Linked DNA regions of Schizosaccharomyces pombe. Changing the gene in region 4 together with the main gene of any one other region gives a genetic interaction. Each region holds a gene or a part of one and is shown on either strand. Other genes may lie near its edges.

Region 1 (6,141 bases), on a different chromosome or scaffold from region 4:
AACAACATCATTGCCCCTGCCGTCGTTAAGGCCAACCTTGACGTTACCGACCAAAAGGCCGCCGACGAGTTCTTGCTTAAGCTCGACGGTACTGAGAACAAGTCCAAGTTGGGTGCTAACGCCATCTTGGGTGTCTCCATGGCTATCTGCCGTGCCGGTGCTGCCCAAAAGAAGCTCCCTCTCTGGAAGTACATTGCCGAGAACTTTGGCACCAAGGGTCCCTATGTCCTCCCCGTTCCCTCTTTCAACGTCTTGAACGGTGGTTCCCACGCTGGTGGTGACTTGGCTTTCCAAGAATTCATGATCCTCCCCACCGGTGCTCCCTCTTTCTCCGAGGCTATGCGTTGGGGTGCTGAGACCTACCACACTCTCAAGTCCATTGCCAAGAAGCGTTATGGTTCTTCTGCCGGCAATGTCGGTGATGAGGGTGGTATTGCTCCCGATTTGCAAACCCCTCAAGAGGCTCTTGACCTTATTGTTGAGGCCATCAACAAGGCTGGTTACGAGGGTAAGATCAAGATTGGTCTTGATGTTGCCTCCTCCGAGTTCTACGTTGACGGCAAGTACGACCTTGACATCAAGGCCGCCAAGCCCAAGCCCGAGAACAAGCTTACCTACCAACAACTTACCGACCTTTACGTCGAGCTCTCCAAGAAGTACCCCATTGTCTCCATTGAGGACCCCTTCGACCAAGATGACTGGTCTGCCTGGACTCACATGAAGGCTGAGACCGACTTCCAAATTGTCGGTGACGATTTGACTGTTACCAACGTCAAGCGTCTTCGTACCGCCATCGACAAGAAGTGCGCTAACGCTCTTCTTTTGAAGGTCAACCAAATCGGTTCCGTCACCGAGTCTTTGAACGCCGTCCGCATGTCCTACGAGGCTGGTTGGGGTGTTATGGTTTCTCACCGTTCCGGTGAGACCGCTGACACCTTCATCTCCCACTTGACTGTTGGTATTGGTGCCGGTCAACTTAAGTCTGGTGCTCCTTGCCGTTCCGAGCGTTTGGCCAAGTACAACGAGCTTCTCCGTATCGAGGAGGAACTCGGTTCCGAGGGTGTTTACGCTGGTGCCCATGCTGGCAAGTACATCAAGGCTGCTAAGTTTTAAACTCTGAGCATACATTAAATTTTACTAATGTTTACAATACATGTTTATTTTTATAGAATGCAATGAAATTTTTATCCTTTTTGCGTTTTGGATTAATTTGCCAGGTTGCGTGTTTATTTATTATTAGTATTAAAGTAAACTGTTGTTGTAGTAGAAGTAGCTGATATAATTGTTTTGTGCTAATTTGCATCCTTTTTTTTTTTAGATGATCATTTTAGTTTTCGTTTATATAGTGTTTTTTTTTCAATCATCTTAATTTTTTTTGGAATGTGTGCATCTGCTGTAAAACACAGAAATTTGTCTTTGACCTAGTACATATTTTTATGTGTAGCCAAAATTTTTGGATACCTTTGCTCTTTATCAGTCACTTTACTACTACTAACACTGGAAAATGTTCTATTCCTCAGCATCTTACCTACTAGTATTTATAATATTCATCAACGTAGAATGAAAATAACAATATTATTAACATAATTCATCTACATTACAATAGTAAAATATTGAACCAGAAAAGCCAAAAAAAAAAAAGCATATAGAAAAGGAAATCATTTGTACAGAAAAGTCATGAACGAAAAACATGTCATAAATTAAGGACCGTATAGGCTTTATGCATTTAAGTAAAAAAAAAAAAAAAAAGAACAGCATTAAAGTGGTGAAACAAATTAAACAACAAGGGAAATCAAAGCCATCGGAAGAATCATACTTACAATCGTAGAAGCGGAAGCCAGTACGCACAAAACCTGAAAATTCGGAATCTTTTTATAACAATCCTGTATCCAAAGATGAAAAATCAATTCGTGAAGATGATAACGAATGAATAGAACGAGATAAAGGGCGCCGACGGCTATTGCCAGATGCAGTTACTCGGGGTCGTGTGAGTTTATGAGATAAGGGTCGAGGGATGGATTTACCAGATGCCAGCTTGGTGCGATAAACGGTACTGAGTCGTGTTCTGGAAGAGGATTGTTTGCTGACAGAAGGCTTTTCGAGAACCTTTCTTTGTTGATCAGAAGCTTTCAAGGTAGCGGGTGTTGTCAGGTTAGTATCCTTTTCTGTTAACGGGGAGTCACCGTCTACGCTGAGCAGAGGAAATTGTATAGGATCATCATCACTGAACTCCTTGTAAACATGGAAATCTGATGCAGGTGTATTACGAATAGTTACTGAGGTAGCCTTATTCTGCATGCTAGGCCAAGGATCGAGCGTTTCACAATCAATTGCAACGTCGTCAAACCCCAGGGATTGAATGGGGTCCAAATGAACAGGAGGAGGCATATATTCGATATCTTCTTCAAGTTCATTTGGTAAAGGAGTGTCTGTTAAAGAGGAACGACGAGGGCTAGCCGAAAGTCGCTTCGACCGCTCTTGTACGGCTGATCGGGAAATTCCTTGTGAGTTTGGCTCCAAAATAGTAGGGGAATCCATCGAAATATCCATAGGAGACATTTTCTTTGTACTGGGAGCAGAAATAAATTTGGAAATGTTAGTACTCTTACCTCCCAGTACCGTTCTAGGAACCGTTACAGAAGAAGGTGCATTCGACTGCTTTGTAGACCCCAATGGTGCTCTTTTGGAGCCCGCTCCTTTTGTACCATTTCTGTTTGATATGGGAGTTACAGGAAAAGCGTTTTCTTTTCCATATGAAAACATGGTTCTTGGCAACATCGTTGTCTATAGTCCAAGGCTGGTTTATTATTTCACAGGTGACATTCAATTGTGACCTGCACAATTTAAAATAGTAAACAAAGCGATAATTTGAAGAAATATGATCACCTTTTAAATTTTTACTTTTACAAATGCATAATAAATTGTTTTGTTTTGTTTTTGAATTGCTTAATTGGATTGAAGATGATTTATGATATTCAGGTTGCTTTTATCGTCTAGTGTTCAAGATGGAAAACCAGTTCTTCATGAAACAAATAATTTTACATTCCAACTATACTATGTTGTAATCATTCTGAATCATTATCAGAAAAGTTGGAAGTGTATTACAACTGATCATTTCGTATAAACTTGATGTTGAATGAATCTAAGCTTTTAAAGCTAGATCTGTCTGCCAAAATTGATCAGTTATGACTTTAAGTATCCCATTTCGTTATTGAAGCTGAAAATTTACAACCTGTGATAAATAATATAGGAGCTTCAACAACTGTTTTCATAAAAAATCATGAAACACATTAATCATCAGAAAAATTCGAGGTTTACTACAACTTAAATGCGCCTTTTGAATTCTGTATAAACCAGCTACTTCCTTATTTTCAAATAAATTTCATCAAAGAAACTTAGGGGCACAACAAACGTCGCATGTTATTAGAAAGAATTACATACAAACATTCTATCAAACTGATAAAAAAAAAAAAAAAGATACAAAATTAAGAGATCTTTAAATTTTTCTAGATTTGAAAAATCTCTACAAATGAATAAACGAAACTTCAAAATGCTAATTAATACTATTGCTTTTATCTCCAAAACCCGCTACATACTCAAATTATCCAGTTCTATATAACGCATTGTAATATATCTATGCTGCTTATTGAATACTTTTTTTCATAACTTCATACGATCTCTTACCACCCACATGGTATCGATTCCCAACAATATTGTAAGCAACAGCTACGACTGTTTCAACCAATACGAAAGGAAATTGATCGGTACTCTTATTCTTTAATATATTAGGATCATGCGTAATTTATGCTTCCCTCTATATCAATATTTTAATAGTTGCATTTCAGATAAAATGAGCGAATTCGTAAAAATTCTAATCGTAAACTCCTCTTAGTAAAGTAAAAAAGTCCAAATATAAGAGAATATGCTAACTTTTGTTAACAAAAGACTACTTCTCGATATTTAGGATTAAGGTATCTTTCCACCTTTGTGGCACTTGAACCTTCCATCCACCACTCACTAGGCTGCTATATCGGTTTGCAATAAAAGGCAGCAAAGTGGATTAATTTTCGCGTAATAGCGTTGAGATTTATTTATTCAATAGGAAAGAAAATGTTTCTATCAAGAAAAATCACAAAAAATGCCCGCACAATAGTTCAATGCCAGCGGTTTTTCCAAACGTCTATATTCTCTCAAAATGCAGCACCTCAATCGCCAATCAAGGTGTTCATGGATACATTTAGAGCAGAATTAAAGAAGAGCCAGGAATTACAGGACAGTGTCAAAGCATTGCAAGATAGTTCAGGATCATTAAGTGAAAGCGACACTTTCAAAAAAGCGAGAGATGCTTACGAAAAAGCGCGCTCGGGAACTACTGCAGCTTCATCTTTCACAGGAAAAACTGTTGGCAAAGCTGGTGCCAAGATTGGCTCATATGCCCAAAAAGCTTGGGAAAGTGCTCCTGTACAATTATCAAAAAAGGTCATTTCAAGCACCGCTAATACTGTAGCTACTGGTGTTGACACTGCCACAAAACCCGTACGTGAAACTGCATTTTATAAAACAATTAAGCAAACAATGTCTGATGGTAGCACCTCTTCACGTTATGGATTTTATGCTGACAAGGAACAACGTAAAAAATTGCGTGAAGAATTTGAACGTCGAAACAGAATGTTTGCTAGCTCGGCAAGGATTCAGCCTAACGAAGACGTCCAAAGCGTCGTCGTACATAGCAACCCGTCGTGGAAGAATAAGGTTGAGCAAATAAAAAACGAATCGCGTTTAGTTCGTAAAATTCAAGAGCTTAAAAAAAGTTATCAGGAGTCTGAACATCCTATTGTCTCCTCCATTCGTGACATGGCCGACAGTATTAGTGGCGTTTGGTCTCGAATGTTTTCAGAAACTGAAGCATCGCAGGTTATGCGACGCTTTAAAGAGATTGACCCATCCTTTAATACCGAGCATTTCCTTCAATATTTAAGAGAATATATTGTCCCGGAAGTTACCGAGGCATATGTTAAAGGAGACAAAGAAGTGTTGAAGACTTGGCTTTCGGAAGCCCCCTTTTCCGTATATGAAACTACTACCAAGGAATATGCGAAACATGGAGTTGTTAGTGTTGGTAAAATCCTTGACATTCGTGGCGTCGACATCATGTCTCAAAGACTTTTACAGCCAAATGATATTCCCGTTTTTATCGTCACTTTTCGTACTCAAGAGGTCCATATGTTTAAAGATGCTAGCAGTGGCGAATTAGTTGCAGGAAAGGATGATCGTATTCAACAATGTACTTATGCTTCTGTCTTTACACGTGTAGAAGACGAGCTTGATAATCCGGAGACAAGAGGTTGGCGTATCGTTGATTTCGCACGTGCACGAGCCGTTGATTATTTCTAAATGCGAAAATATTCCAAACATTTGTCTTTCTATCGGCTTCTAATTTTAACATGTAAACATTTTTTTTGGAATCAGATTTTTTCTTCCTGCATAGCATATTTCGTTTGGGTTATATTTCTCTGTCACTCATATGATTAATTACTATTTAATATTTCAAAAGTTTTGTCAAGTTTGGAAATAACTCTTGGATTTCCTGGACTATGTCCACCATCATCTACTTAAGAAGACCGCTGATATTCCCTAATGATCGATCTTCTTTTTTTTTTTGTTTCTTTTTGATGACAAGTCTAAGCTTGTCATTCTTTTTTTTATCACATTTTTCGTTTGTCTACTTTGAAAAGTCTTTAATGTAGTAGAAGATTTTATTAATTTAAAATCTTTTATTTAACTCGGGTTTTGCGGGATGGGTTTAAGAATTGAGGTTTTGCTATCTTTTTCTTAAAGGATACGCGTGTTTAATACTTTTTCAACAATCGTATTTTAGGACGCGTGCATTTTTTAGCTCAATATCATAATCACTTTAACATGTTTTATAATATTTCCAATAGTTTTGGATTAAATAGTGCAAGAAATATTTTAAATTGGGAAAAATTTGGAACATTTATATTAACAAATAGATGTAGAGAATTTGACCTTTCATAAATTAATAAACGGTTGGTTTTAAAATTAAAATGGATACTTGTTGCTTGATATCCGACTCATTATCCCTTTTTAAACCTTTAATTAAGTAAATCTCAATCCTTTTGT
Region 2 (8,391 bases), on a different chromosome or scaffold from region 4:
CTCACAAGCAGAACTTGATGCTAAACGGATGATTCATTTGAATGCAAGAAATGCTAGAGGTTACCTACGCTTGGGAAAACTTTTACAGCTTGACGGCTTTGATAAGAAAGCAGATCAATTGTATACGCAAGGCCTGCGAATGGTGCATAAAATGGATCCCTTGAGACCGGTATTAAAAAAAGTAAGCCAAAGATTGAATGAAAGAATTCTTCGGACCAGGCCGGTACTAGATTTGTTTCGCATTCTTCCCCGAGAAGTCCTATTATGTATTCTACAGCAACTAAATTTCAAAAGTATTGTTCAGTGTATGCAAGTCTGCAAACACTGGAGAGACTGTATTAAGAAAGAACCTAGCTTATTTTGTTGCTTAGACTTTTCATGCGCCTCTCCTCGAAGTGTAAACTCTAGAGATCGAAACGTTATGGCTGTTGCTCGATACTCTGTTTATTCAAAAGACAATATACAGGAAGTAATTGGCTTAGAGAAGCTTGGTATATTAACACCTACCAAAGCCTTACTTCGTTCAGTCAAATCACTTAAAGTCTACAAAACCATTTCACCTCTCCACACTCAGTCAACGGATAAATTGTATACAATTTGGACGCCATTTTCTGAACTTCACTACTTTTATTGTGCTACTCCTATAACATTTTCCATAGCTTCTAAGATTTTATCTTGCTGTAAGAAACTCAAGCAGGTTGAGCTTGTTGACTTAATTCCCGATTTGATATTTGATTCTATGGATTGGGATAAACTCTTTAATGCAGAATCTGTACCGCTGGCTCTTAAATCTTTGACGTTTATCCGAAATCAAAAGTTTCCCTTTCACCATAAAGAACAGCAATTTCTTAAAGACTTGCTGTCTGCCAGTCCATATTTAGAATATCTGGAAGCCTCATATCAGTCAGACCTAGTTGCTGCAATAAAAAAATATAAAATTAATCTCCGATCGTTAATTATCATTGATGAAGGAGTATCGAATACTGTTAAAGATCTAGCATTCCTTCCTCAATCTCTTACCACGTTAATTGTGAAACCCTGCAATCCTGCATCTACAATTTTATGTCCATATTTATTCCCTACAAATGTCCGGATGGAATCACTAATCAACTTAGAGTTATTTCTTTATCTTCGTTTATCTCAAAATGATATCGATAATGTTGTCAAATTTTTGACTTCTTGTTACAAACTAAAAAAGCTGGTTCTACACGATTCGCTAGCATTGGCCCCCCATTTCTTTGAAATATTTGCATCTTTACCGGAACTTGAGCATCTTGAGATTCCTGATAACGTTGCTCTTCAAAATAAGCATGCAATACACATTACTGATTGTTGTCCAAATCTAAAGTATGTGAACTTTTCAAATTCAATATCCCTCGATGGATCGGGATTTATAGCAGTTTTACGAGGACTGAAAGAATTAAAACGTATAGATATTATTAATTGTGATTCTGTTTCTAGAGATGCAATAGATTGGGCGCGCTCCAAAGGTATGCAAGTTACCGTAGCTTCCTCGCTTCCAAATTCTCAACCATTGGGTACAAAAAAGATACGCCTAATATAATATGATCATATTGTCTTTATATATTCAATCCTAGTAAACCCGTATCATCGCATTGAAAGGAAGATTTTTAAGAGATAGATCAATCATTGAGAATAAATTAAAAAGCGCGTAAGCTATTTCTAATCATAACTTTGTGTTGAGCTGATAATATTACATACATCCAACAGTAATATCGTAACTCGGAAAAAGAAAGACATACAACTCGTGATTCCAAAAATAAAATAAAGATAAAAGAAAGCAATGAACAATATTACTGTCATAAAAATCTATTTCGTGTAAGTATTCACACTTATTTATAGATCTAATTGGATTTTGAAAAAATATTAACCGACCTCTCATAGTGATGAAAGTAGCATTCCACGTTTAGCAGTAAGCGTGATTTCGTTCTGAATGGCAACATCCTGCTTGACAGATATAACATCCTTCGTCGCTAAAACGAGGACATCAAAGAAAAGTTGAACAGCTTCCTCTCTATTGCATCCCGCACTAAGAGTTTGGAAGGATACTTTTTCACCTTCAGTATAAGGATCCCACTTATTGCGTAGAGAATCTTTGGCTGTTTGTGAACTAGGAAGGGCCTCAGATACCGAAGAGTCCAATCGTTCGCTTCCCAGCAAATCGGCCTCGTCCAGCATTACGGGAGGAGCGTCAAAAAGTGAATCATCGGCTGATTCCAAGGCAGTAACAGGAAATCCCATTGGCGAACCAAGCTCAGGAGCTTCTCCTTCTGGTTGAACAACGGTTTCTTGTGGTAAAGTAGCGATAGCGGCTTCAGTAATGTTGGCAAGCTCAGCGGCTGCAATTTCTTCAGGGTCCAAGACTTCAGCAGTTTCTTGGTTTTCAGTTGAGGTATCAGTACGTTGGTGCTTGGCAGGCTCGACTTCCTCTGGGCTCTCATTTTTTCTCTTTCTTAGAATTGCCTGTTTGAAATCAGCTTGCAAAAGCTCGTTTACTTTAGGGTTCAGGTTGGAAGAAAATATGGAAGTATTAAATTTACCGTTTCGAGTAAAATTAACGGTGGCATTAAACACGATGGAAGATGTATTCAAGCATAACGGTGAGGTGATGGAAGATGTATCTGCCAATTGTTTTTTCATTTGCTTGGAGGACAATTCAGTAACGGGATCAATAATTGCACGTTGACGACGTACAGTTTTCTGTGGATTGATCTTTTCCTGTTGAGGAGCAGTGGCGCTTTCAACAACCTGACCTTCCTCTACTCCTGCTGCTGCAGGACGAGATGAATCATCTTCCATAATGTCAGAAGGGAGATGAATACTTGATGTTTCAGCTTGTTCATCAGCCTCTATCGCCGGAGCATTAGCACCTTGTTCATCTCCTAAAAGATCATCTAAGCCCAAATCCAGGTTTAAATCATCAACAGGAGCCAACAATTCATCATCCAATGAAGTTCCTCCTATTGGTAGCATGCTTGGCGTACTAAAATGAGTGACTGAACTAGCCGGCGACTTAGTCATTTGAGGCCCAATAATTCCACTTAAATCGGTGGCAGCAGCAGCAGGAGCATCTCTACCTACTTCTATAGAAATTTGGGACTGATTATCAGAGTGCACACTTCTAGGTGTAGCAGCACCGGAATTTGAAATGGGAAGATGAAACTGCATATCATTGCCAACATGTGCGAATGATTCGCCCAAGGAAAACCCTGATTCTACTTGGGCATTTCGTCCAGCCTCAATTGATAGCTGGGAAGATGGAAAAGAAGGAGAGGAAGATATTGGTAAAGAATGTAGTTCAAGAGTGTTCGAAGAACGAGAGGGTGTACGAAGAAGTTGAGACCATTGAAAATCAAATGTACTATCAGGTACCAAAAGATCAAACTCTGTAATTGTCTCAGGAAGAGTGAGATTAGCGCTCTGTGTCACAGCATCTTTACCTTTTAAAGATTGGAGAGCAGTAGCTGGTTCAATCATATCAACCTGACCCGGTTGAAAGGACATTTTCAAACGCATCAACGCTTCCGTACAATCCTCCAATAAATACCTAGCCTTTCTGGAATAAATGCGAACAACACCCAACATTAGTTGTCCTGATAGGCGAAGGGCCATTGGAGCGGTTTCCTCCGTGACAATTGCATGGACGCTTTGCTCAATACTGGTGTGCAAAGTTTGCACTTTGGAAAGTTTCTTTTCCCAGTGAGCTGCCAACCATACCTTGGCCAAAGGACCCTAACGCGAACAGTTAGTCAGACGATTCAAAGACAAATTAGCACTGTTTACGCGCTAAAGAAAACTTATAAACTACATACCTTTTTTGAAAGAATGGCCTCTGAATAGAACATAAGAAGCTTAATATGATTAGGAGAAAAAGATAGAAAGAAATTAAAGAGTAAAGACAAAAAAAAGAGGGGAATCAAAAAAGAACAAAAATAAACAAAAAATTAATAAATATTAAAATGAAAGAAATGCTTTCTTTCGCAAAATTCGCCTCCTCACTACGATATAAGCTGGGTATTTGTAAAAATGAATATACGTGGTGCTGGTTAAATGAGTACGCGCTGCGCGTAAATAAATCCACGTTGCCATGCCGACAATGAATATGATACATAAACAAACTAGTATGTGTAGCAACAAATAGTTAAATAAATGAATAAAAAAAGCTTGTATTGAAGTTAGAAACTGTTGAGCATGATCAAGGGAATATGCTTCCTCGAAGAAGTTGATTTATCTTTGTTATATGCTTGTATGTTTCGGCCTACTAACTGTATTATAAAATGATGCGCTAGATTTACGTTCACATATGTGCATAGAAGGCAACAAAAGGCATTTGAATTATGTTATTCAATTAAAATAGTCATAAGACATAAGGGGATATGTTTTTCAATAAAACGGAAAACTCCGATTACAACCTTGTTTTAACAATCTTGAGTTAAATTTTGACCATCCTTATTTTGGAAGCATTATCCTTCCATTGAATACATTTATCAAATGAATTCCATTCATTAATTGCATCTTCAATGCCATTTTTTCTGTATGATTAAATAGACTCGTAAAAGGATGTTTTCATCCCATTTTAGTAATGTCAAAACACATTACATTAAACGAATATGTAATAGAAATTACCACGACTGAAAATTTATTTTATTTCTATTATATTATTGTCAAAATTAAAAGGTTGATTGTGACTCGTATGCCAGAAGAAGGTTAATGAATAAAAATACTTATAAAAATAAATAAATTTTTTTTTTTTGGGTAGGGTGTTTTTTTTTAACGATAAACCCCATCCAGATAAATTCGATAAACAAGCTAATTTATTTAAAAAATCAAACAAAAAATAGAAAAAGGAATAGACAAGAATTCCATCCATATTCGTCTAGCAAATTCGATTTTTCCATTTCCCAATAGTGGACACTGCGCAAAACAGTTCCCGTATGTTTTAGTGAAGGGGAATTCGAGTTTGACTGTTGGAAGAAGGCAATTCGCTCATAAATCATTTTAATAAATAAAATGAATGTATAGCATTATTTTCGCCTCTGCAGAAGTTTAATGTCATTGTTCATTGTTGGCAATATCCAATGTGGGGGAAGGCGTAAATAAAATGAATACGTATATGTTTCTAACCTTGATTCTTGACTTTTCCCAACAACGGTTCACTGACTTTAAAAGAGAAAAAGTATAAATTACTAAAGCAATTGTTACATTTAAATAGATTGCTAAGGACTATTGTCTAATAATACAACAGTTACCTTTATTAACGTTTATTTTTCTTTTGGAACACATTGAATATTAAACTAAATTGCCACAAAACAAAATGACTGAACAGAATATCGATATCAAAAGAGAATTGAAGGATGAATCTCCAATTGGGCAATCTCCACATCTAGAAAATGATGGTCGTCCTAGTCTTATGTCGCGCTATAGCTACTCGTCTATTGAAGAGGTATCCAAAGAGGGCTATCAATGGTTTAAACATCAAAGTGTATTTCTTAAATTTAGCCTAATTGTACTTTTATTCTCGTTGATGTTTAGTTTGACGTTTGGTTCGTTGCTTGGATTAATTAGCCTTGCTTTGGGCTTTCCTAGTGTGGGATATCGTTATGTGCTTCTGCCCATATTAAATGCATTATTGAACCGTTTAAGACTTAATTCCTCCGGTTTGAAGTAGTACGAAAAGCTTGATTTCTTTGGGTCTCCCGTTTCTGCTTTTTGTGTCCGAATTCAAAATGAATCATCATAAAAAGACAGTGTTCTTGTTTACCTGAAAGCGATGAGTAACTTACCCTGTTGTATCTTAGTTTACGACGATCCTTGTATAACGACTGGAAAATAAAAAAAAAAAGTCAAAAAACTGTGAATATAATAAAAAGTGATTTTTTACTTGTTTAAATTACAGCCTAACCTGTTGCAACCTTTCAATATTCTTTCCATCTTCAAAACTACTTACCCACCCTTACCTACTTGTTTTAACCGTGTCGCCATTTTTTAACTGCCAAAATTACGGGCGAAACTCCAATACCACATATTCCCTTTTATTAATTTATTTAGCAATTATGATTTAATACAAATTATCTTTAAGATCTTCAAGCTCCTTTTGTTACTAAAGTTACGTTTTGCTTGATAGGCCTAAGTGAGTTTATCTTCATCTGATAAGAAGATAGCACTTTATTCTCCAGAGGATTCTGACTATTTCAAAAAATGCACAATTATTAGCAGTGCCTATTACTCTTTGTTATGCCTTTTATATTGAACGAATTATTGAATAATCATGACTATAAATCTAAAATATACCGTATTTGCTGATTTTAATAGTATACTTTTCCCTAGAGACCCAGCTTTTTTAGTTAAACATTAAGACTATAAACAAAAACAGGCTTTTACTAATAGCTCGACGTACATTATTTGGGTTAAGAATTCTTGATGCAGTTAGATGCAGAGATGGTTTTTTTTAAGCCATAAACGTTCATCTTGTAACCCTTGATTGTTTTTTTGATGGATTCTAATGTGCTTGAGTGCGTTATATGTTTAACCATTTTAACATATGAGTGTAGATGGAGGTTGAGCCAATATGTATAAAAATAGACATTTCTGCTGGACTTGAGTTCGACTCCAAAATTCTTTCAACACGTAACTCACATTGCCGCGATTACCTTGTAACCTACAAAAAATACTCAATGCTACATGGTCCTTCAGTTGGCAAAATGTATTGAGAAACCCTACAGTTCCTTTTCTTAAGCAAGCTGCTTAATTGAGCCTGCTACAGAGAGTCGTACCCATACCATACCCATGTACGCTATATCAGCCCACTACATATTAGTGCAACCAATATCATGGATGAAACAACTATGATTTCGCGGATGTTTTAGCACAGCAATTATCACTTAAAATCTATACCCAGATATCCTTTTGTTTTCCAATAGTCGATGATGATTCCTCACATTCAGCAATTATTGAGACGCTGACAAATGGACTTGAGCGTCTGTCAGCCAGTTTTCCGTGGCTAGCTGGTCAGGTTGTTCACGAAAGTTCAGAAGGAAAAAGCTTTAATATATTCAAGATTAAACCGTATGAGAAAACGCCTCCTTTCTTTGTCAAAGATCTTCAGCATGTCCCTTCTATACCCTCCATGGACGCGCTCAGAAAAGCCGATTTTCCTTTCAGTATGCTGAACGAAAGTATTTTCGCACCTCGCAAAACGATTCCAGGAGATCCTGATGAACAAACGTTAGGCTCAGATCCAGTTTTCCTTGTCCAAGCCAGTTTCATCACTGGTGGTCTCGTGCTTACGTTTGTCGGTCAGCACAATGCAATGGATATGACCGGCCAAGGTTAGGTTATCAACCTCTTTTCTAAAGCTTGTTGCAATGAACCATTTACTAGCGATGGTAACCTTCCCCGTTACAACCTTATCCCTTTACTCGAAGACTCTTACGAACCAGGTTCTGAGATGGATCATTTCATTTTGAAGTCACCTCCTTTTTATTCCGAACTTGAAAGCGTTGATAAATCACATCCTCCTCCTCCTAAATGTATTTGGAGTTACTTTTGCTTCGACCATAACTCACTCACCGCTCTTAAAACACTGGCTACAAAAACTCTCCCCTCGTCGTTTGCCTCAGAATATATATCCACCGACGATTCCCTTACCACATTCGTCTGGTAAGCCATTATTCGCTGCTGCATTTCTCGATTGAACCCTACAGCCACATCCACACTTTGTCGTGCTGTTGATGTACGGCAGTACTGCAATATTTCACCAACGTATCCAGGACTAATGCTTAACATGAAGTCACAGAGATGTGTAATTGAAGAGTTGATGAAGGAGCCTTTGGGTGGCCTTGCATCGAAGCTTCGTTCAGCTTTGGATCCAAAAACACGGGCTTATGAATCGAGTGCACTTGCGACTTTAATTCATCGTAGTCCAAATAAAAATCTAATCTCCTTTTGCTCAAACCTTGATCCAAATACCGATATTGCTTTGAGTTCATGGGCTAAGTTGAATAGTTATGAGCTTGAGTTTAACCTAGGATTGGGAAAACCAGAGGCTGTACGGAGACCCCAGTTTATCCCGATAGAGGGCTTGATTTACTTTATGCCGAAAGACTTGGAAGGTGGAATTACAGTTGCTATTTGTTTAAGGGAGGAGGACATGAAGAAATTGAGAATTGATGAAGAGTTCTCTAAGTATGCGAAATACATCGGATAGCTGCAACGTTATTAAAAAACCAGAGGACACGGTGCTATTGGGAAACAATGCGTGATAGTGTGTAAATTTATATTCGGTTGATTTTTTTTTTTAAAGTCATCGTAATGACTCAACTTGACCACAATATCAATTGAGAACTTATAATTACTTTCTTTTATTTTTTG
Region 3 (9,172 bases), 810 kb from region 4:
CTTCTACGACATCTGAATCCGTAAGGGTTTTACCCCAAGCTGTTGATCGTTTAATGTACGTATTGTTTGTTCTGTCCCACGACAATATACCAGTTATACGAAATCCAAGACTACCACTCGTCGTACTTCTGGAAACGGCATCTAATCTTTTTCGTTTTTCAAGAGGAGCGTCATCGGCCCACAACTGTTTTCCTAATTTGATATCCATGACACAAGGAGTTTCCATCTGATACAGAATATTTTCTAAGATTATAGCTTTTCCAGTTAAGGAAAAAGCAACACTTTCTGCGATCGGGTTGATACCCTCAATGTCTCTACTAGAAGGCATCCACTCACCGAAATTCTTAGGAATCCAGTTGTAGAGCGTAATATTGTCGTTACATGTTTTATAAAAATCAACTTCACTTTTAATGCATGGCTTAATTAGAATTTTATCATCCTCACTGACTAGTACTTGGCCATGACCAGCAGCTTGAAATGGAAACAGTTTTAGTTTCATCAAGAGTTAAAGAAAAAATCCGCTAGTACATGTTTTTTCGTCAAAAGTATATTTCTTGAAAATTGCAATACGCGTTTAGCAATATGCTGAAGCGTTATTTTCGATGTGACAGCTGTTGGGTAAGCGGAATGTAGAATGAATTGAAATAGTGTAGAGCTATATCAACCACTTCCACTGCTTGCACGAACATGCAGGTTATATGAGCTGAATAAATAAGTGTAAAATTTTATCTAATAATATAAAACAATGAATTTCCTAAACACATATCCAAATGTGTATGTACTCGCTGTTAATTTATTCAGCTTTTTTTACAGTAGATAAAGTTGTAGCCTGGAGATCGAAGTATGAATTTAACAGAAAGTATAAACTTTTTTGGATATTATTTAGAAAGTGTTTTGCAAAGTTTTTATAAATTATAATATTATTAAAAACCTATATTCCAAACCACTAAGGGAAAATATTTTAGCTAAATTACAATTTACACACTTTCAATAGTATGTACCAGGGCTTTTTTTTTTTTTTTTTTTTTTTTTTTTTTTTTAGGACAAATTATATGTACTTTGCTAAAATTTAAAAGTTAAATAGTAGATTATTAGCAACTTCTTTTTTGCTAAGTCCATAGACTATATAACAATACAGCTCTCAATCAGATATGCAGTTCCAACTTTTTTTAATGTTATTATATTCTGTTAAATATGGTAAACAATGTCCAATTGAAGAATGCCTGCTCAATAGAAATAAACTCACCAATCTGATTTATAGTTTTGAGTCCTCCATATTCATAGTGTAATGCCAAGAAACAATTAAGATTATTAATGTGCATAAATTTCTTAGAATTCCAAATTTAAGCAAATTTGGATTAATTTTCCAAGTTACATTGATCGAAGGATCGACTAACGTTGATGTTGTTACTTGTACTTTTGGACTACAGCTAAAGTGAAGTTTACTAAAGAAAATTTCTTAGCAAGGGCGAGCAACCACCATTGTAGGTCAGATACTACTTTTTACAGCAAGGAACCCGAAAAAATGTCAGTTAACCCAAAGGTATGTTAATAATGGTATAAGACTTCTTCTTTGGCTACGAAATAGCTGAAAGCATGCTAGTTTCAAATGCTAGTTTCGTCGGCAATTTTATTACGGAAAATGAACTTTTCCGAAATTTATATTCGTTTTATTGCATACTAACATTGTTAGGCCTTTCCTTTAGCCGATTCTGGCTTAACCCAACAAATTCTCGACTTGGTACAACAGGCCTCTCATTACAAGCAGCTTCGCAAAGGTGCAAATGAGGCTACCAAAACCTTGAACCGTGGTATTAGTGAATTTATAGTAATGGCGGCTGATACCGAGCCCATAGAGATTTTATTGCATCTGCCATTGCTTTGTGAGGACAAGAATGTGCCTTATGTTTTTGTTCCTAGCAAGGCTGCTTTGGGACGTGCTTGTGGTGTAAGTAGACCGGTGATTTCAGCCAGCATTACTACCAATGAGGCTAGTGATTTACTTCCTCAAATTCAAGCTATTAAATTGGCAATAGAGAAATTGCTCATCTAAACTTTTGGATTTTGGGAACAGTTTTCTTTTAATCGAGAATAAAATTTGATTCTTATGGAAGCAGATTGTTATCGAATTTTTTATTTTGTTATTGTAATTTTGTACTGTTTCGCTTTCTATATAATTTCAAGTACTCTGTTTGTAGTCATTTTAATTTTTATTAATTAGCTCGCAAAATACTCAACAAGAAAGATAGTTGAGTGTTTACATATAAGAGCATTACGATTTTAATAAAGATAGTGTATATTTGGTGTTTGATATATATATTTTTTAATATATTTTTCGTGTATGATTCGAAAAGTATCTTCACTAAGCTTGCTTCCAACTTGATTCTGAAATTTTTTCTCTCTAAAGCGTTACAGCTTGTCCACTAAAATAAAAAAAGATATTTGTATTCATTAATAAACTTTACTGTTATCCCATGAGTATCTATTAAAACAAATCCAAATTTATCTAAATTGCGATACGAGCTAGGCTCGCTATTTTCCTTTATTACTTGCTTCTCGTTTGTGTTTACTATCCAAGCGCAATATGCCTACTAAGACTAAGAAAAGGTCCGTTCTTGAGGCTGAACGGAAAAAGATTGGGTAAAAAATTTCTATAGCAAGATGTTTTTACTAACATTTGGTTAATAGACTCGATCATGCTCCCAAGGAGGATGAAAGTGTAGATGACAACTTCCCAAAGCAATTCAAGCGATTGCTACAGCAAAAAGAGTACCATGAATCTAAAAAGAAGGAAATAAAGAAAGGCAACCTTAAAAATAAGAAAAAAAAAGATTATGGGAAAATTCAAAGATTACCCGGTGAACGCCTTAGTGAATTTAGTCAGCGCGTAAATAAGGCTATTCCAGTATCTTTTAAGTCTGGGCCGAGCAAAATAGACGAATTTACTGATAAAAAAGAAAAGAAAAAAATAGCGAAAAGAAAAGAGAAGCGTGAAAGAGACTGGAATGAAATTGAGGAAAATTTTGAAGATAAAACATGGGAGGCGGATACTACTGGGTATGTGTATATCACCAATTTCATTTCGTATAAACTAACATATTAGACAATTTATCCAAATTGAGTCTAGAAAAAAACGAAAAAATTCGCCTGATCCGTGGGCTAATTTACAAACAAAACCTTCCTTTGGAGAAACTGTGCAAGCTCCTCCTGAACTTCCGGAATTAAAAATTAAAGAGACAAAGTACTTGGAAAATGTTCCCAAAGTTAATAATATGGGTCAAACAGAATCTATGGCACGACGCCAAGCTCTAGGAAAGCAGCGTTTGGAACTTATAGAGAAATATAGAGAATTAATGAAAACCAAGCGGAAATAATCTTTTTAATAATGAAAAAAGAATTTATTTCTAATGCTGACTTAAAAATAATTAATTACTTTAAATATACAGCAGGCATTAAATCTAAATTTAATTAATTCAAAAACTCATCCACAATAGCAGATAATTTCGGTCCATAGTGCCCTCTTAGTTCACAAAACTGTTGTGAAAATTCTGGTGTTATCGTATTTGACAATGAAACAACTATTAATAATTTACTAGTCAAATCGCAACATACATGTTCCAATAGCCTTCTATTAAGTGGATTTTTGTCCAAAGAAATTTGTGTATGTGGAGAACTTGCTTGAGTCAAACGCTTGAAGGGGAATTGACCAACTTTGGCATATGTGTATAACCATCCCTCAAGTATTTTTAAAAGAGCATCTAAAAATTGAGGTTTTAAAAAGTTATGCTCCTCAGATACACGATTGTCATCGTTGTAATGTGATGCTTTAACACCTTCTTTCATTATCACTGTTTCCAGAAAAGTTCGGGCTGCCTGGTCAAGTTAGTTTCTTAAATCAAATAATAAGTTGATTTTGTATACCTGAAGTTGCAAAATTTTAGAGCTGTCATTATTCATAATATTAATCAAACAATTAAAAACTTTAGTCTCATCATCCTTCTTTTTTTCCTCATCAGCAGGGTTATCCTTCCTTAGAAAGAACCAAAACAATAGACTCTGTAAAGTATTAATTGCAGAAAACTTCAATGTATCTTCATAGCTATTAGGAACCCGCGAAAGAAGCGAAACAAGCCTTTCATATATTATGTCAAACTCAGGATAGTCAGAAAAATCTTTGAGAGAGGTACATCCCTCGATTCTTGTTAAACAAGCTTCAAAAATAACAAATTCATCTTTTGTTATTACAGCATCTTGAATATTAAAAGATCCAAAATTCTTTAAAAATTCGGTTACCGTCTGGTCGCAAATGTCAGTAACCAGAAGCTTCAAATCTTCTTTCAAAGCAGGAATAGAGTCCAACCGTAAAAATAATATCGTGCAACCTTGAATAATTTGAAGATCATTATTGGTTAGGAAAAATTTTTTTAAATTATTAATTAGAAGTTCAAAATGTCTGGAAAGTTGAGGGTCTGTCATTTCTGTCAAATCCATTGAGAATAACAAACGAAGAGAATCATGAAGAAGTGTTGGTGAAGCAGAATTTCTCTCAGTTATTGAATTAATGTAAGGAAGAAGATTCAAATAAAGTAAGTCCTTATCTTTATTTTGATCGTTGGTCGTTTCCGCCGCTTGCTTATTATGCACCGTTTTAGGTGTGATAAAATTGTTATTACAGACAGTTTGGATTGAAGCAGAGAGAAGCTGTAAAAGAATAGATTCCTGAAAATCATTTAGCTTGCAGAAAGAAAGTATACTGTCTATCGGATCTTTTAGAGTCGAGGTATAATTATCAAAAAGTACGAAGTTGCTAATATCCTCCCATGACTGATAGATTGAATCAATTTCACATGCATTAAGTAAAGCTTGTGTTATAGGAGTAATGAAATTACCATTTTTTTGGAAGATTCGTAATAATGTATCATAATCAAAGCTCGATTGGTAAGACAATCTAACCTCCTCCAAAAGTTTACACATTTGGGAAAATTTTATCCAATGAACTGAAAATGTAGTAAGTGAAGTCTGAGAAAAGGCCTTTAGAATATAGTCTTCTTCACCCCATAAATCAATTTTTTCATTCACACTTTCGTCAACCACTTTGCATAAAAACAGTACGGCTTCACGTTGCACCCTTGGATTGATATCTAAAATTAGCTTCAGCACTTTTAAAATTTCAGAATTTTCTAAAAATCCGCAAGTCCTCATAGCGTTACACAAACGAATGCTGGCTACACGAACTCCAATATCGGCGTCCACACAACTCATCTCGAGTATTCTTTCTTTAAATCTAGAAGAAAAATGTCTTAATCCACCAATAAATGAATCTGTCTCAAAAAATTTGCGCAAAACTTTAACTACAGTTAATCTGACGGTAGTGTTTATGTCTGAAAGCATCCATCCTAGGTATCTTAAATAACTTCCTGAAAAAAATATGCTTGGAACAGTATTAATCCAGACCCCAAGCTCTTGTAAGCAATCTACCCTTATTTTAGGCTCCACGTCTCGATATCGATGGACGAAGACACTAATATAAAGGTTAGTATAAATAAATTAAAGCGTTTGAGGGATCTTTACCTATCAAAGTAGTCATTTAAGTATGTAGTCAATGTATCTTGTTGCTTGACTATTTCACCAAGACTGTTATTAAGTTCGTTGATGCGATTTCTATTTACACGAGAGCGCTTTTCTTCTTTCTCGAGCTGTTTGGTAGCAATTGCATGCTCGTTCAATAGTTCTTTAGATTTTTCACATAAAAAAGTCATAATATTCAAACAGAAAACAGTGGCGGTGTGCCGAATAGGTCTCATCGTAGAAGAAGACATGGCAACGACCCAAGACATAATATCTTCAAAAACAGTGCTATTGTACAAGTAATTTCTTATTGACAACTGTGACACAAAGTTGCTTAAAAGACCGGTCAATCTCTTTCTGAAATTCCTAAACTTAAGATTTTTTGAATTTAAAGGATAATCACGAGTAGAAGTCTTAAAGTTGTTAATATACAAATAAAGTATTTTCGCAAAAGCACTTACACGCTCTACAGAAAGTTGAATTTGAGATAGAGTAGCTGAAGCAGAATCTTGATCCTGAACATCAAACACATTAATGGCACGATTGCAACCACAGCACTAAAATATTTAGTAAAGAAAGAAAAGAATGACTCTACCTTTAAAATAAAGTTAATAAGATTTGCAAGGGCAGATTGATTATCTTTTGCATAGTCAGCAAACCACGAAACCGCGATGTCCATGGTATCAACTTTTTGGTCAAGCAGAAAAGCTTTTCAGTGTTAGTAGCTGAAAAAAAGAAGGACTTTATCATTACCAAATAAGTTGTTAAAAATTTCTTCTTGAGGATCCTCTTCAACTATAGCGTTCCTCCTAGAGCGTTTTACATTTACTCCTTTAGAATTTGGCCGTGGATGCCGTTTTTTTGAGCTTATCGTTTTCTCGTAATCATCATCGCTATTTTCTTCAGAAGATGAATTTGAACTACTGCTCATGGGATCAAAACTTTGAGAAAGCATTACAGGGGAAGATTCTCTGTCTCCTCCATCATCATCAGATCCAGTAGTAACAGACTCACTCATTTGAAGAAAAAAAGAAATAATTTATAAATAAATTAAGAGGTGTAATTAGAAATATTGGAAAGAGTGTAATGAATGCACTATTGGTGTTGTACAATGGAGGTTGTTCACAACCTGTAGTTGATAAAAGCACGAACTTGTCTTGTTCAATAGTGTTAGACAGGATAAATGTGTTTGAAAATCCAAGGATACGAAAGGAAATTTATACTTAACGAAGTTATTACATTAAAATTTTCTTTACCTTGATTGAAACAAATATATACTATTTTCTTTTGGGTCCTGCAAGGTGAACAGCTAACTTATATTCACTCCGCGAGTTGAGATTGTAATTTGACTATACAAGTATAGAATTGTGAGTGAAAGATTCTTTTGACGCGTAATATTTTCGATTATTATTAATAAATGAGATATTTGACAACTTTTCGAGCGCTCATTATATCATAGGCAGAAATACGAAAGTCATCCTTTATGAAAAATTAACAAGTAATTAGAAAACTTTTATCCTTTTTATTTATTCCTCAAGAATTTTAGGCTGTACCCATCTGTAATTGCAAATATGCTTAAACATGACTTTGAAATACGCGTTTTGTTACTTTAACATATTCTGGGTAACGTTTGGTGCATGTGATGGATCACGGACGCGTCGCGTTCACGCGTCACGAAAATCTAATATACTCACGCTACCATCCACTACTTAAATTAAACTGGAACACACGACCTCAAAAGCGGATTAAATTAAGATTCATGATTATACCATGAATATGGACATTGGAAAAGCTTTGAGTGATGTTGGTGGGCTTCGAGATATTACCTCACGTGCAAATAACTCATTACCTCCGACTCCTGATTCTTCTCCCGCAGCACCTTCCAAAAAACATAAGCTTTACGACTTCCTAGAAAGCCGAGGAAAAATTGAAACACCTCGAAAACGCATTGTGTTTGAAAAGAAACCCCTGTTACACAAGCCAGTTCATATTCAAAAAAAACCTGCTCAACTTTGTAAAGAACTTTTAATCAGACAACTGGGAGGTTCCCGGTCGCACCCTTTTAGCACAAAAACTTCTCGTCATGTGGGAGGTAGACTCAATCTCGAAACATATTACTCACGACCTTCGGAATGCTTAATGATGCTGAACCAACTCCCGTTCTGTCTTGGATTTGCTAATAACGAGTCTTTATTGGCCGTATGTACTGAGACTGGAGCTCTTGAGCTGTTTGATTCTCGATTTTACGATAGACAGAATGAGGAAAATCAGCCGTCTGCTCGAAGAATCCATGGCTGGCTTGCTCACAACAATGCTATATTTAGTGTTAATTTCTCTAAAGATGATTCATTATTAGCTACTTCATCTGGCGATCAAACATCAAAGGTATTTGATTTGTCAACGCAACAATGCATCACTCGATTGGGACGACGAGGTGTCGATGGATACCACTCTCATTCAGTAAAGCAGGTTAATTTTTGCAATGATTCTCCTTATAATTTGGTAAGTTGTTCTCGGGATGGTTCCATTATCTTTTGGGATATGCGAACACACGGGATAACAATTGACGGTGAGCATTTTCAGAAACCAGTGTTAAGGATAAGAAAAGCACATGAAAATTCGGGAAGGGATTGCTCAATTACCTCAGCTACGTGGCTCCCTCAATCTACTTCGCAAGTTATATCGTCCTGCTCTGCAAACTCGGCCTTAAAGTTATGGGATTTACGAACTGTACATACCGTCCGACCTTTACCTGCTGCTACTACTCCCGAATTAACTACTTCAAAACGCGATTTTGGTGTTACTAATGTTTGTACTTCTCCTGACGGTGAGCGTATTTATGCTGCTTCCAGAGATAGTATCATTTATGAATATTCATCTCGTCACTTAAACTCCGGATTTTGCAAGACTTACAAAGACCCTAGACTCAGAATTTCTTCATTCTACGTAAAGTTGGCGTGCAGTCCTGACGGAGCAACTTTAGCCTGCGGTGGAGGCGTTCAAGACAAGACTAGTGGTGTTGTTGTTTTTGACACAACAAGAAACTGTTCATCGTCTGCTATGCTCACAGGTGGTCATACTAAGGATGTTACTGCAGTTGATTGGTCTAGTGAAGGTCAATTGGCAAGTATTTCAGACGATGGGAGCGTTCGCGTATGGAATTCTTCTCTGCATGGAAGTGCGGCTAACCTTAGAGAAAAGAATTTTTCGGAGATTTTTTATTGGGGATTTAGTGAAAAATGAAAATTATCACGCATAGCAATGTCTCAATATTCGGCTTGTTTCTCTTGAAAAGAAGACTATAAGTGAGGCTTCATAATATTTTGTCAAAAATAACGACTATTCCCTAATGCATTTGAATATTATTAGGATTCTTTCTTTTTCCATATCTATTTAATCCTTTGATTTGTCATTTTTTTGCTTCCGCTGGATGCTTTATAAGCTTTTTCTGTTTACCAAAGCTTAATGCATAAAATTAGTTTGCAATTTTTTTTTGTTGACAATTATTTTTTTTTTTGGAAGCAATCAAAATACCAGTCAATATATGCAATCCAAATTAGATGTTTTTTCCTCACCGTTAATCGAACTCCTATTCCTAAACAAA
Region 4 (8,832 bases):
TGAATGTAAACATAGTAACAAGCGTACAGTGATGGCTTCTATAAACACCAAATCAGCAAATAAGAAAGGACTTGGGGTTAGAAATATATAAAAAATACAACAGTTTATCATTAAAGATTATCAAAGAATGAAGAGAAATATTCAAATAATCGCAAAAAGTTTCTCCCTGATAAAAAATACAATCATTCGTCGTTACCACGAATCTCTTTTCCAAATCAGTATTTCAAAAAAAAGTTGGAAAAAAAAGAAAAAAAAATTAAACACTTATTAATCGAACTCGTGTTGTCATTGTTTAATCACAAACCAGCTGGTAATTGCCTTAATTCCACTTTCAAATCACACATTCGCTTAATTGTCTTTCAAAATTTTTGCTTTGATAATCTTATGACTTTAAGTCAAAAAAAAAGAATAAATGGTAGTAAATAATGTGAAGAGAAAACGGAACCTTGAAAAAGTTTTGCAAATGGCAAGGAGGAGGAAAATATATTGTGGACAAACTATTAGTTTCTAATCCAACCTTTAATATTGAGACACAAAGTTTAAGCATTGCCTCATTGATCTGATGCCTGCATCAGAAAGCTCTTTTTAAGCATTAGAGGATCTATTAACAACGGTGAATCCTCCCATACGAATTGGCTCTTGATTTTTTGGAGGTAAAATAGGCGAAGTGGTGGGTTCAGAAACAGGTTCTTCATCTACTTCCTTCTGCCCTTTTTCTATCTCATCTATCTGATTTTTATCACTAACAGTGTCTTGTTCTTGATCTTTATCCTTTTGCTTTTCTTTAGCTTTCTCTTTCTCTAGTTTTGCTGAATTTTGCGCACTTCGTCGACGTCTTGCTTCTCTGGCCTTCTCACGCGCTGCAAGCAATCCTTCATGATAAGGTTTCTTCTCTTCTTCGGTCAAATTATTCCATGTATCTTCAAGAGTTTTCTTCAAAGCTTGTCCCTTCAAGGTAGAGCCTTCGGCCTTTAATTTTGGTTTTTGAATAGACGAAAAATGGTTGAATAACATTGTGTCTGTAATTTTGGCATTAGAAGTAGCTTTTTTAGCTCCAGATGATTTTGAGCTTTCTGTTTTAAGATTTGTAATAATAGGAGAAGGTATTGGATCAGTATTCGTAATTTTTTCATCTTTTGATTGAACAACTTGATTTTGCTGCTCAAAGTCTGCATCTGTGTCATTGACGGATGCATCTTTAGGCTGGGAATTATTTGATGATTTATGAGATATTTCCGACGTGTTGTTTAATGCTACGTTTGTATCAGATGTTTCTTCTGTAGATATCTTTAACTTCTTGGCAGACGGGTTTCCAGCGCCTTTCGTTGATATTTTGATTTTAATACCTTCGGGAGGAGGCTACATATGATTAGTACAAGTATTACAATAAATTCACTCTATAAAAACACTTACAGGAGGAGATGGCTCAGAGCGCTGTCCAAATTCGCGAGATTTTGCTTCACTTTGCAATTCCAACTGTTCCATTAAGATAGCTCTTTCTAATCGGCCACGCTTGACAGCTCTTCGAATAACCTCATATTTGCTTAATAACTCCTGATTTCCTTTTTGGATCTCCTGAATTCTAGCCTTTAAATCCTTGCACTTTTGGCGATATTTAATTTCTGAGTATTCATTAGTAAATGAAAAAATCAATCAAGCTTCAAAATATTCACCTTCCGATTTGGAAATAGATACATGGTATGGAGGGTTTTCCATGGATATAGATGCTCTGCCTTTGATCTTGTTCGCACAATGTAGTAAGTACTGTCGCGAATTAAGAGCACTGACTGGAGGTCTAAAATAGCGAATTTATACAAGTCTTAACGCTACGACATGCTTTCGATTTTTTGAATACAAATAGAAATCTGGAAAAAGTTATTAAAATGACTCTCCATTGGGATTAGAACTTTAAAAAAACTATATGTGAAAGTATCAACTCTGGTAGTAATACGCACTGATTGATTCAAGCGCAATTGCATCATGAATATAAAAATTATAAATTAAGTATGATAAAATTAAATAACAGAGATATTAATGAAAGAATGACTAATAGCAAAAAGATCGGTTTGTCCACGCAAAGAAATTAAAAAGAAAAATGCGAACTTAAATTAACAAACCATAACCATTTTATCCTTCAACGAATGCCATAGCCTCCTCCTTAGAAATCGACTCAACTGTTGAAACTTTGTGATTAAACATTACTCCGTAAAAATTGTCCGCAACTTTCACCATCTCAGGCCGAAAAGTAGTGCAAATAAATTGACTAGTTTTTGACATCTCTTTGACCATCGCTGCAATGGCCGAGCGATATTGTGCATCTAAATTAGCATCACATTCATCGAGTATATTAAAAGGCGCAGGATCACAGCGTTGGATAGCAAAAATTAAAGTTAAAGCACAAAGTGACTTCTGACCGCCACTCAATTGATTAATATTCAGTTGTTCATCATCCTTACTGTTAAAAGAAACTCTTATGCTGATACCTGTATAATTGTCGATCGAGCTTTTCTGGGATGGCGTATCAATGTCCATGGAGATGTCTTGTTCGATGCTTTGACTCAATTCACTTCTTCTATTCATAACCAATTCACCTCTACCTGCCGGAACAAGTTTAACGAATATTTCAGAAAAGCTTTTAGCAACTTGTTTAAAGGTACGCTCAATTGCTTCATCTTTTCTTTGGTCAAGTACTGTCGTAAGCTCACTAATTGACTCCTGAGAACGACGCAACTCTTCTCTCCTAGCCAACAATGAATCGCGTTGTTTAGTAAAATTATTAAATTGCTCATATGCTTTCTTATTAACGCTTCCATAATCTTTAAGGGCTTCGTTGATTTTATGAAGTTTCTTCACAATAGCATTTGAGCTAGTTGAAACATATTTAATAAATGCTTCTTCCGGCAAAACCCCCAATGATTTAATTTTCTCGTTACATTCTTTTTTCCGTGCGAGAAGCAAACTTCTCTTTGCTGCGTTTCTTTCGTTAATTTTTGCATCTTGTTCAATTCGGGTAGCCACTTCGTGCTGCAATTCTTCTAGCGATTCCAATTCATTTCGTTTATCGCTTATTTCAGAATTGATTCTTTGCATTTGTTCCTCCAACCCAGAAGATGAAGATTTAATAATTTGCAATTTGTTTTCATACTTAAGTAGAGATCTCTTTACGCTGTTCAATTCTGATTCGTCTATTCTGTTATCAGAACCAATTTCAGCTTTCAATGGATTCCTTCTTAAATATAAGTTTGTATTTAATTCATATTCAAGAGCCGTCTTTCTTGCTTCTATATGTGCTCGTTCTTTAATGATGGCATCAAACTCATGAGAGAGATTTTCAATTTGACCACTCAAAGACTTTAGTGCTTCCACATCTTTGGGATCAAGTTCATCCATTTCTGAACTTAATTCAGATTTCAAGTCATTAGCTTGTTGTTCAAGTGTATGTAGTTCCAAAACAACAAGCTCAAGCATACGACTTTTATGATGCATTGATTCTTGAAGATCTGTTGTTTCTCCAGTAATAGTTACGAGTTCATCTTTAAGAGGAATATGATCTCTTTCAAATTGCTTTAAACTTAGTTGAGCCTTTTGCAAATCATCTAAGCATGCAGTAATTTTTTGGTCAAAAGATTCAATTTCGGAACGACATTTCTCCAAACTTTCTTGTAAATCCGAGAATTTGATCTGGTATGTTTTAACGTTTTTGATAGCATCCAGCCTGGAATTTCTATAATCACGATACCCGGCAGTTAATGCACCTTTTTTGTCAGATCGATCACCACTTAAAGTAATACCGTTTAATTGATGAGATCGAGCATACTGGGAGGCGGTCTCAATCGATGGACAAACAATGGTTTTCGAAAAAACTTGTTTAATCGCAGCATCAAACTTGGGATCGAACTCTAAATATTGAATTAAAGGTAAAGCATCACTGGCATCAGGATAAGTAACCGCCTTTGGACGAAGCTTGTTCAAAGGCATGAACGTAACTCTACCGGCATTTTCTTTATATATAACGTCAAGAATTTGAGTTGCGGTTTCATCGTTATCTACCACGATATGAAATAGACTGTTCCCAGCAGTAGCCTCAACAGCGACCTTGAAACGGTTATCAACCTTGAAAAGCTCACAAAGTGGACCATAGTAACCTTCGAGTTTCAGACGTTCAGCAATGTCTTTGACAGCTCTAATACCATTACTTGTATTCCGATCCATTGTAGTCCCCAAAGCCTTCTCAGAACGAGAAAGATCGTCCTTAACATTTTCGATAGACGACTTAAGTTTGGCTTCTTCTCTCCACAGAGATTTCCTTTTGTCCGTCAAATTTTCTTTCCTTTCATTAATTGAAGTAATGTTAGCAAGTAGTTGCGACATTCGATCACCTTGAGATTCAAGGGAAATTTCAATTTCCTTTTTACGAGATAATTTTGCTTTGAGTTCATTTTCCATTTCGTCATACTCAGTCTTCAAGTAATCACTGTTCTCCTTTGTAGAATTAATGTTACGGTTGATCTGTAAGAGCTGATTTCTGATCCATTCATCACGTTCTTTTTTGGTAGTGAATTGAGAAGTCCTCGATTGCTTGTCCAAAAGTGATTGCTTCTGATTTTTGAGCAGCATGATTCTTTTATTAAGATCATCAGCTTCAGATACTATAGCGTTATACTTTGGAAGAATTTCTGAAAGCTCATTTTCTTTCTCAGAGATTTTTGACTCTAATTCAGAAAGTATGTTGAGCTTTGAGCTCTCATCTTTCTTCGAAAATTCAATTTGACGTGATAATTGAGAAGACTGTAATTCCAATGCGACTTTACTTTTCATAATATTGGTATAATCCTCATCGTTTTGCTGTTTTTCAACACGTAAAAGCTCAAGCGAGTGGTTGAGCTCTGTAATTTCAGCCTTAATTCGTTCAATGCGTTCCTCTCTTTGAATGAAAGCACCCGAATCATCATCATTACGCTCAAGTGCAGCTATCCGGTCTTGTTCTAAGGCATCCAATACGGAGTTAATCTCATCATGCTCGCGAGAATAAATAGCATATTCCAAGCATCTTCTTTCGTTGTCTTTTTTGTGATAAACTGCAAGATCGTTTTTCTCCTCTTCTAACTCACGCAACCGTTCTTCAATGTATTGCAAAAGTTCATCAATTTTCTCCGATTTTTGAATTGTCTCGTCCATAATTTTATTGGATTCAGCTCTTCTGTTCTCATAAATTTGAGTACCTGCAACCTCTTTTAAAAGTTCTAAACGCTCTGAATCCTTTGCATTGGTTAGGGATGTGACCCTTCCTTGAGGAACAATGTAGTAAGGATTGGATCTTGAAAACCCAGCAGACTCGAGAAGATTAATAACCTCTGTCTTGCTTACAGTTTTCTTATCCAAAGAGTATTCGTCTTTTTTCAATCCAATTGTACGACGCAAGACAACTTCGCTTTTACCGGTGGGAAATCGATTATCAGCATTAGCGAACGTAACTTCAACGTATGCGCTCATGACAGTTGCACCAGGGCCTTCATGCAGCAAAGCTTGTCTTTCTTCACGGCTTAAATGTGTATACGCATCACTTAATACGAATCGAATTGCAGCAAAAAAATTGCTTTTACCAGATCCATTTCGTCCCACAATTACATTGTGGTGAGGGCTTAAAGGCTCTATTACAGTATAATCTTTATAAGATTTAAACCCTTGAATAACAATCTTAATAAATCAGTTAACTGGGGTTCTATAATGCTTTACTTACTTTTGTGATATACATAGATTTGTGGTTGGTTTGGGTTAAAGTATTTACGCGTCGCGTGTCTTCTTTATGGCGTGTAAGTATCAATCTTTGTGGTAACAGAGTTCTAAGAATCTACAACATAATAATTCATTCATACTAACCAAGATGAGAAATTCTTTGAGTTGTTGATGTTGATTTTGTTATGTTTTTTCTATATGAAACTGTATTAACTGAAGATCGTTTGCTTTTCTCTTTACTGCCGCATCAATTTCCAAATATAATATTTCTTTATTAAACTACTGGGAATGCACAATCAAATTGGTAGAAAGCGCGCTAGCTTAATTGAGTATGTGATTTTTTAGATGCCAAGTATGCATTAGTGTTAAATAAGCAAGCTGCTCTTGAGCGTCAGCGTTTCAGTAATGAATTTAAAAAAATGCATATATGAGCTTATGTATTGTTTCTTTTCTATCTGACTTTTTATTGTCAAGCTTTAATGAGGAAAGCCGCTCACACTAACATTAAATGTCTTTTGGAAATGTAATATATATTTTATTGATCGAAGAATGGAAAAAATATAATCCACTAAATTAAAAAAAAAATCATTGGTTTGCAAAAATCATCTTGTAACTTATGGTAATCATAATTTGCTAACTTCTTACATTTTTATATACCAGTTTTATTTACAACAAAAAGTTTTTACTACCACCTACAAAATACAAAAACTTGGATTTGTATCCAGTTCTTTGTCAAATTTTTAAATAAATTATTCTTTTATTGATTTATTTAAAGTTTAAGATGGTTGAGGAGTTAAAAAACGATGCACAGACAAATGAAGAAGAATCAGAATATAGCGACTTTAGTGATGGCTCTGACAATGATTACTTTAGGGAAGACGATATAGACTGGAATCAAGCTTCTTCAAGTAAGTTCATATACTGAATAGCCAAAAGCACTTTGCATGAATTTTTGTTACCATTTTTCATGATCATTAATAACATTTTTACTAGATTATTCTGCTAGACAGGAAAATTTTGGGAATAATTCTTCTAAGATCAATTCAGTTAATGATCACGTTTCTACGCTTAGTCGTTATGTGAATAATATAAAATTAAATGACAGGTTTGAGGCAGAGGGTAAGTGTAATATAGTTTAACTGCTCATAGGTTTTAGAACTCGAGGTCTTTTGATCCTTCACACTTTTACATTTTCATGTTTAATAGTACTGACAAATAAAGACAAGTCATCTATCAAGGATAAAAGTGACCGCGCTACATCTGAACAAGTGCTGGATCCCCGTACTCGAATGATTTTATTAAAATTAATAAATAATGGAACTATATCAGAAATTAATGGTTGTATAAGCACGGGAAAGGAAGCAAATGTGTATCATGCAACAAACGAGGATGGTAAACATTTTGCTATAAAAATTTATAAGACTTCAATCTTAGTATTTAAGGATCGTGACCGCTATGTTTCTGGAGAATTTCGTTTTCGTCATGGGTATAACAAGCGCAATCCCCGAAAAATGGTACGCTTATGGGCTGAAAAAGAAATAAGAAACTTGAAGCGTGTGGCTGCTGCTGGTATTCCTTGCCCAGAGCCAATCTTATTGAAGCAGCACGTTTTGCTTATGTCGTTTCTGGGGGACAAGAAAGGATGGGCATACCCCAAGTTAAAGGATATAGATATGACGCCTGGTGAGGCTACTAAATTATATCAGCTTGTAGCACGGAATATGCGTATTTTGTTTCATGTTTGTCATCTCGTGCATGCTGACTTGTCAGAATATAATTTACTTTATCATAAAGGTAAAGTTTATTTTATTGATGTATCACAATCGGTTGAACATGACCACCCGCAGAGCATCGATTTTTTAAGAATGGATATTTTAAACATTTCTACATTCTTTAGGCGTTTGAATGCTGGTTGCTTATCTTTACCTCAATTATTTAAATTCATTACTGAAGAAGGAAGTTGTGAAAAGGAAGCCATGAAAACCCGGTTAAATGCAATTTATGAGGAAGAACCTACTACAGAAGAATACGAAGAGGAATTCTTAAAAACTTATGTTCCTCGGACTTTAGATGAGGTATACGACATTGATCGAGATACTGAAATCGTAAACGCCGGAGGTGTTAATAGCCTTGTATATAAGCACTTATTAAATACAGACTTTCAAAAATTGGATTTAAATGACACTACAAAAAATCAAAACGATCAAATCCTCCCAAATGAGACTTCGGAGAGCGATGATGATGCAAATTCTATAAGTAGTATGGAAAATGAAGAAGAACGGACTTCGGATTCAAAATCATCTGCAAAACAAGGTAAAGGAAACGGACGTGCAAAGGAGACACCGGAGGAGAAGAGGGCACGGAAAAAAAAAACCAAAGAAGATAAGGCTGAGAAAAGAAAATCCAAGATTCCGAAGTATGAGAAGAAGCGCAAACTAAAACAATCTGGAAGAAAAAAGTAATCAGGGGAAAAAATTACGGTTATTTTATATAATTATCTTTATTGGAAAAGTCTATACAATACTCATAAACTAGTAGCATAACTAAAATCATTATACGTTTATAGACTTTAAAAATCGTAAAATATGGCTAACAGGGTCATCGCTTAGAGGCTGTAGTAGAAGATTTTTCACGTTGCTTCGATTTCTTATCGTTTTTATCAGGAATTACCTTTACGTTTGGCAATTCTGTATATTGGTGCTCTATAATTTCAAAATGTAAAGGAGGATCTGTTACAGCTCCCCATAGAGTCTGGGGTAAATAATCACCATATTGATTGAAAAAATCGATACGACATTTCGCCTCCGCCTGTTGTTCCTTCTCCAGGCGTCCCACAAATTCGTCCACAATGGATCTTACACAATTTTCATAGGTTTGTCGTCTGTGAATTTCCTGAAGGAGAGCGGTATACGCTTTAGCAAAATGTGTGTAATGTCTTTCAAGCTGCACGAGTTCTTGAGCTAATTGCGGAATCTCCAGGCCGGTTTGCGCCCTCATTAACTCATGCGCGGCTTCATGCCTTTGATTAGTCAACTGGTTTTTGTTTAACTCCTCAGCCAAGGCTTCCAAAATCGATGTTGCCGAATCTACCTTTGA

Evidence for each region.
Region 1: of psm3 (region 4) and cut2, a mutation in one rescues a mutant of the other (synthetic rescue), as found in Schizosaccharomyces pombe (one study listed by BioGRID).
Region 2: of psm3 (region 4) and rad21, a mutation in one rescues a mutant of the other (synthetic rescue), as found in Schizosaccharomyces pombe (3 studies listed by BioGRID).
Region 3: of psm3 (region 4) and psc3, a mutation in one rescues a mutant of the other (synthetic rescue), as found in Schizosaccharomyces pombe (one study listed by BioGRID).

What each region holds. Positions count from the first base shown.
Region 1 is NC_003423.3:2,201,444-2,207,584, forward strand, and holds cut2 (securin cut2), read right to left. Parts: upstream 2,774-6,141; 5' UTR 2,764-2,773; coding exon 1,873-2,763; 3' UTR 1,557-1,872; downstream 1-1,556. Other genes in the region: eno101 (enolase), read left to right, coding at 1-1,113; TIM23 translocase complex subunit Tim44, read left to right, coding at 4,111-5,394. UniProt on the Schizosaccharomyces pombe protein: Regulatory protein, which plays a central role in chromosome stability. Probably acts by blocking the action of key proteins.
Region 2 is NC_003421.2:1,338,567-1,346,957, reverse strand, and holds rad21 (mitotic cohesin complex non-SMC subunit Rad21), read right to left. Parts: upstream 4,066-8,391; 5' UTR 3,867-4,065; coding exon 3,834-3,866; exon of another isoform or gene 3,754-3,833; coding exon 1,900-3,753; 3' UTR 1,565-1,899; downstream 1-1,564. Other genes in the region: F-box protein Pof3, read left to right, coding at 1-1,564; SPOM_SPCC338.18 (uncharacterized protein), read left to right, coding at 5,336-5,689. UniProt on the Schizosaccharomyces pombe protein: Cleavable component of the cohesin complex, involved in chromosome cohesion during cell cycle. The cohesin complex is required for the cohesion of sister chromatids after DNA replication.
Region 3 is NC_003424.3:2,033,817-2,042,988, reverse strand, and holds psc3 (mitotic cohesin complex non-SMC subunit Psc3), read right to left. Parts: upstream 6,695-9,172; 5' UTR 6,587-6,694; coding exon 6,322-6,586; intron 6,277-6,321; coding exon 6,164-6,276; intron 6,126-6,163; coding exon 6,030-6,125; intron 5,982-6,029; coding exon 5,572-5,981; intron 5,522-5,571; coding exon 3,922-5,521; intron 3,874-3,921; coding exon 3,469-3,873; 3' UTR 3,375-3,468; coding exon of another isoform or gene 3,104-3,374; 3' UTR 3,058-3,103; coding exon of another isoform or gene 2,689-3,057; 3' UTR 2,641-2,688; coding exon of another isoform or gene 2,585-2,640; 3' UTR 2,445-2,584; downstream 1-2,444. Other genes in the region: arg82 (inositol polyphosphate kinase), read right to left, coding at 1-499; U3 snoRNP-associated protein Snu13, read left to right, coding at 1,526-1,543, 1,694-2,053; SPOM_SPAC607.02C (uncharacterized protein), read left to right, coding at 2,585-2,640, 2,689-3,057, 3,104-3,374; WD repeat protein Cdt2, read left to right, coding at 7,339-8,811; SPOM_SPAC17H9.18C (uncharacterized protein), read left to right, coding at 9,034-9,172.
Region 4 is NC_003424.3:1,219,082-1,227,913, forward strand, and holds psm3 (mitotic/meiotic cohesin complex ATPase subunit Psm3/Smc3), read right to left. Parts: upstream 5,778-8,832; 5' UTR 5,756-5,777; coding exon 5,741-5,755; exon of another isoform or gene 5,698-5,740; coding exon 2,128-5,697; 3' UTR 1,888-2,127; downstream 1-1,887. Other genes in the region: Ino80 complex HMG box subunit Nht1, read right to left, coding at 586-1,359, 1,414-1,622, 1,674-1,716; rio1 (RIO family protein kinase), read left to right, coding at 6,518-6,644, 6,730-6,855, 6,958-8,198; autophagy-associated protein kinase activator Atg17, read right to left, coding at 8,335-8,832.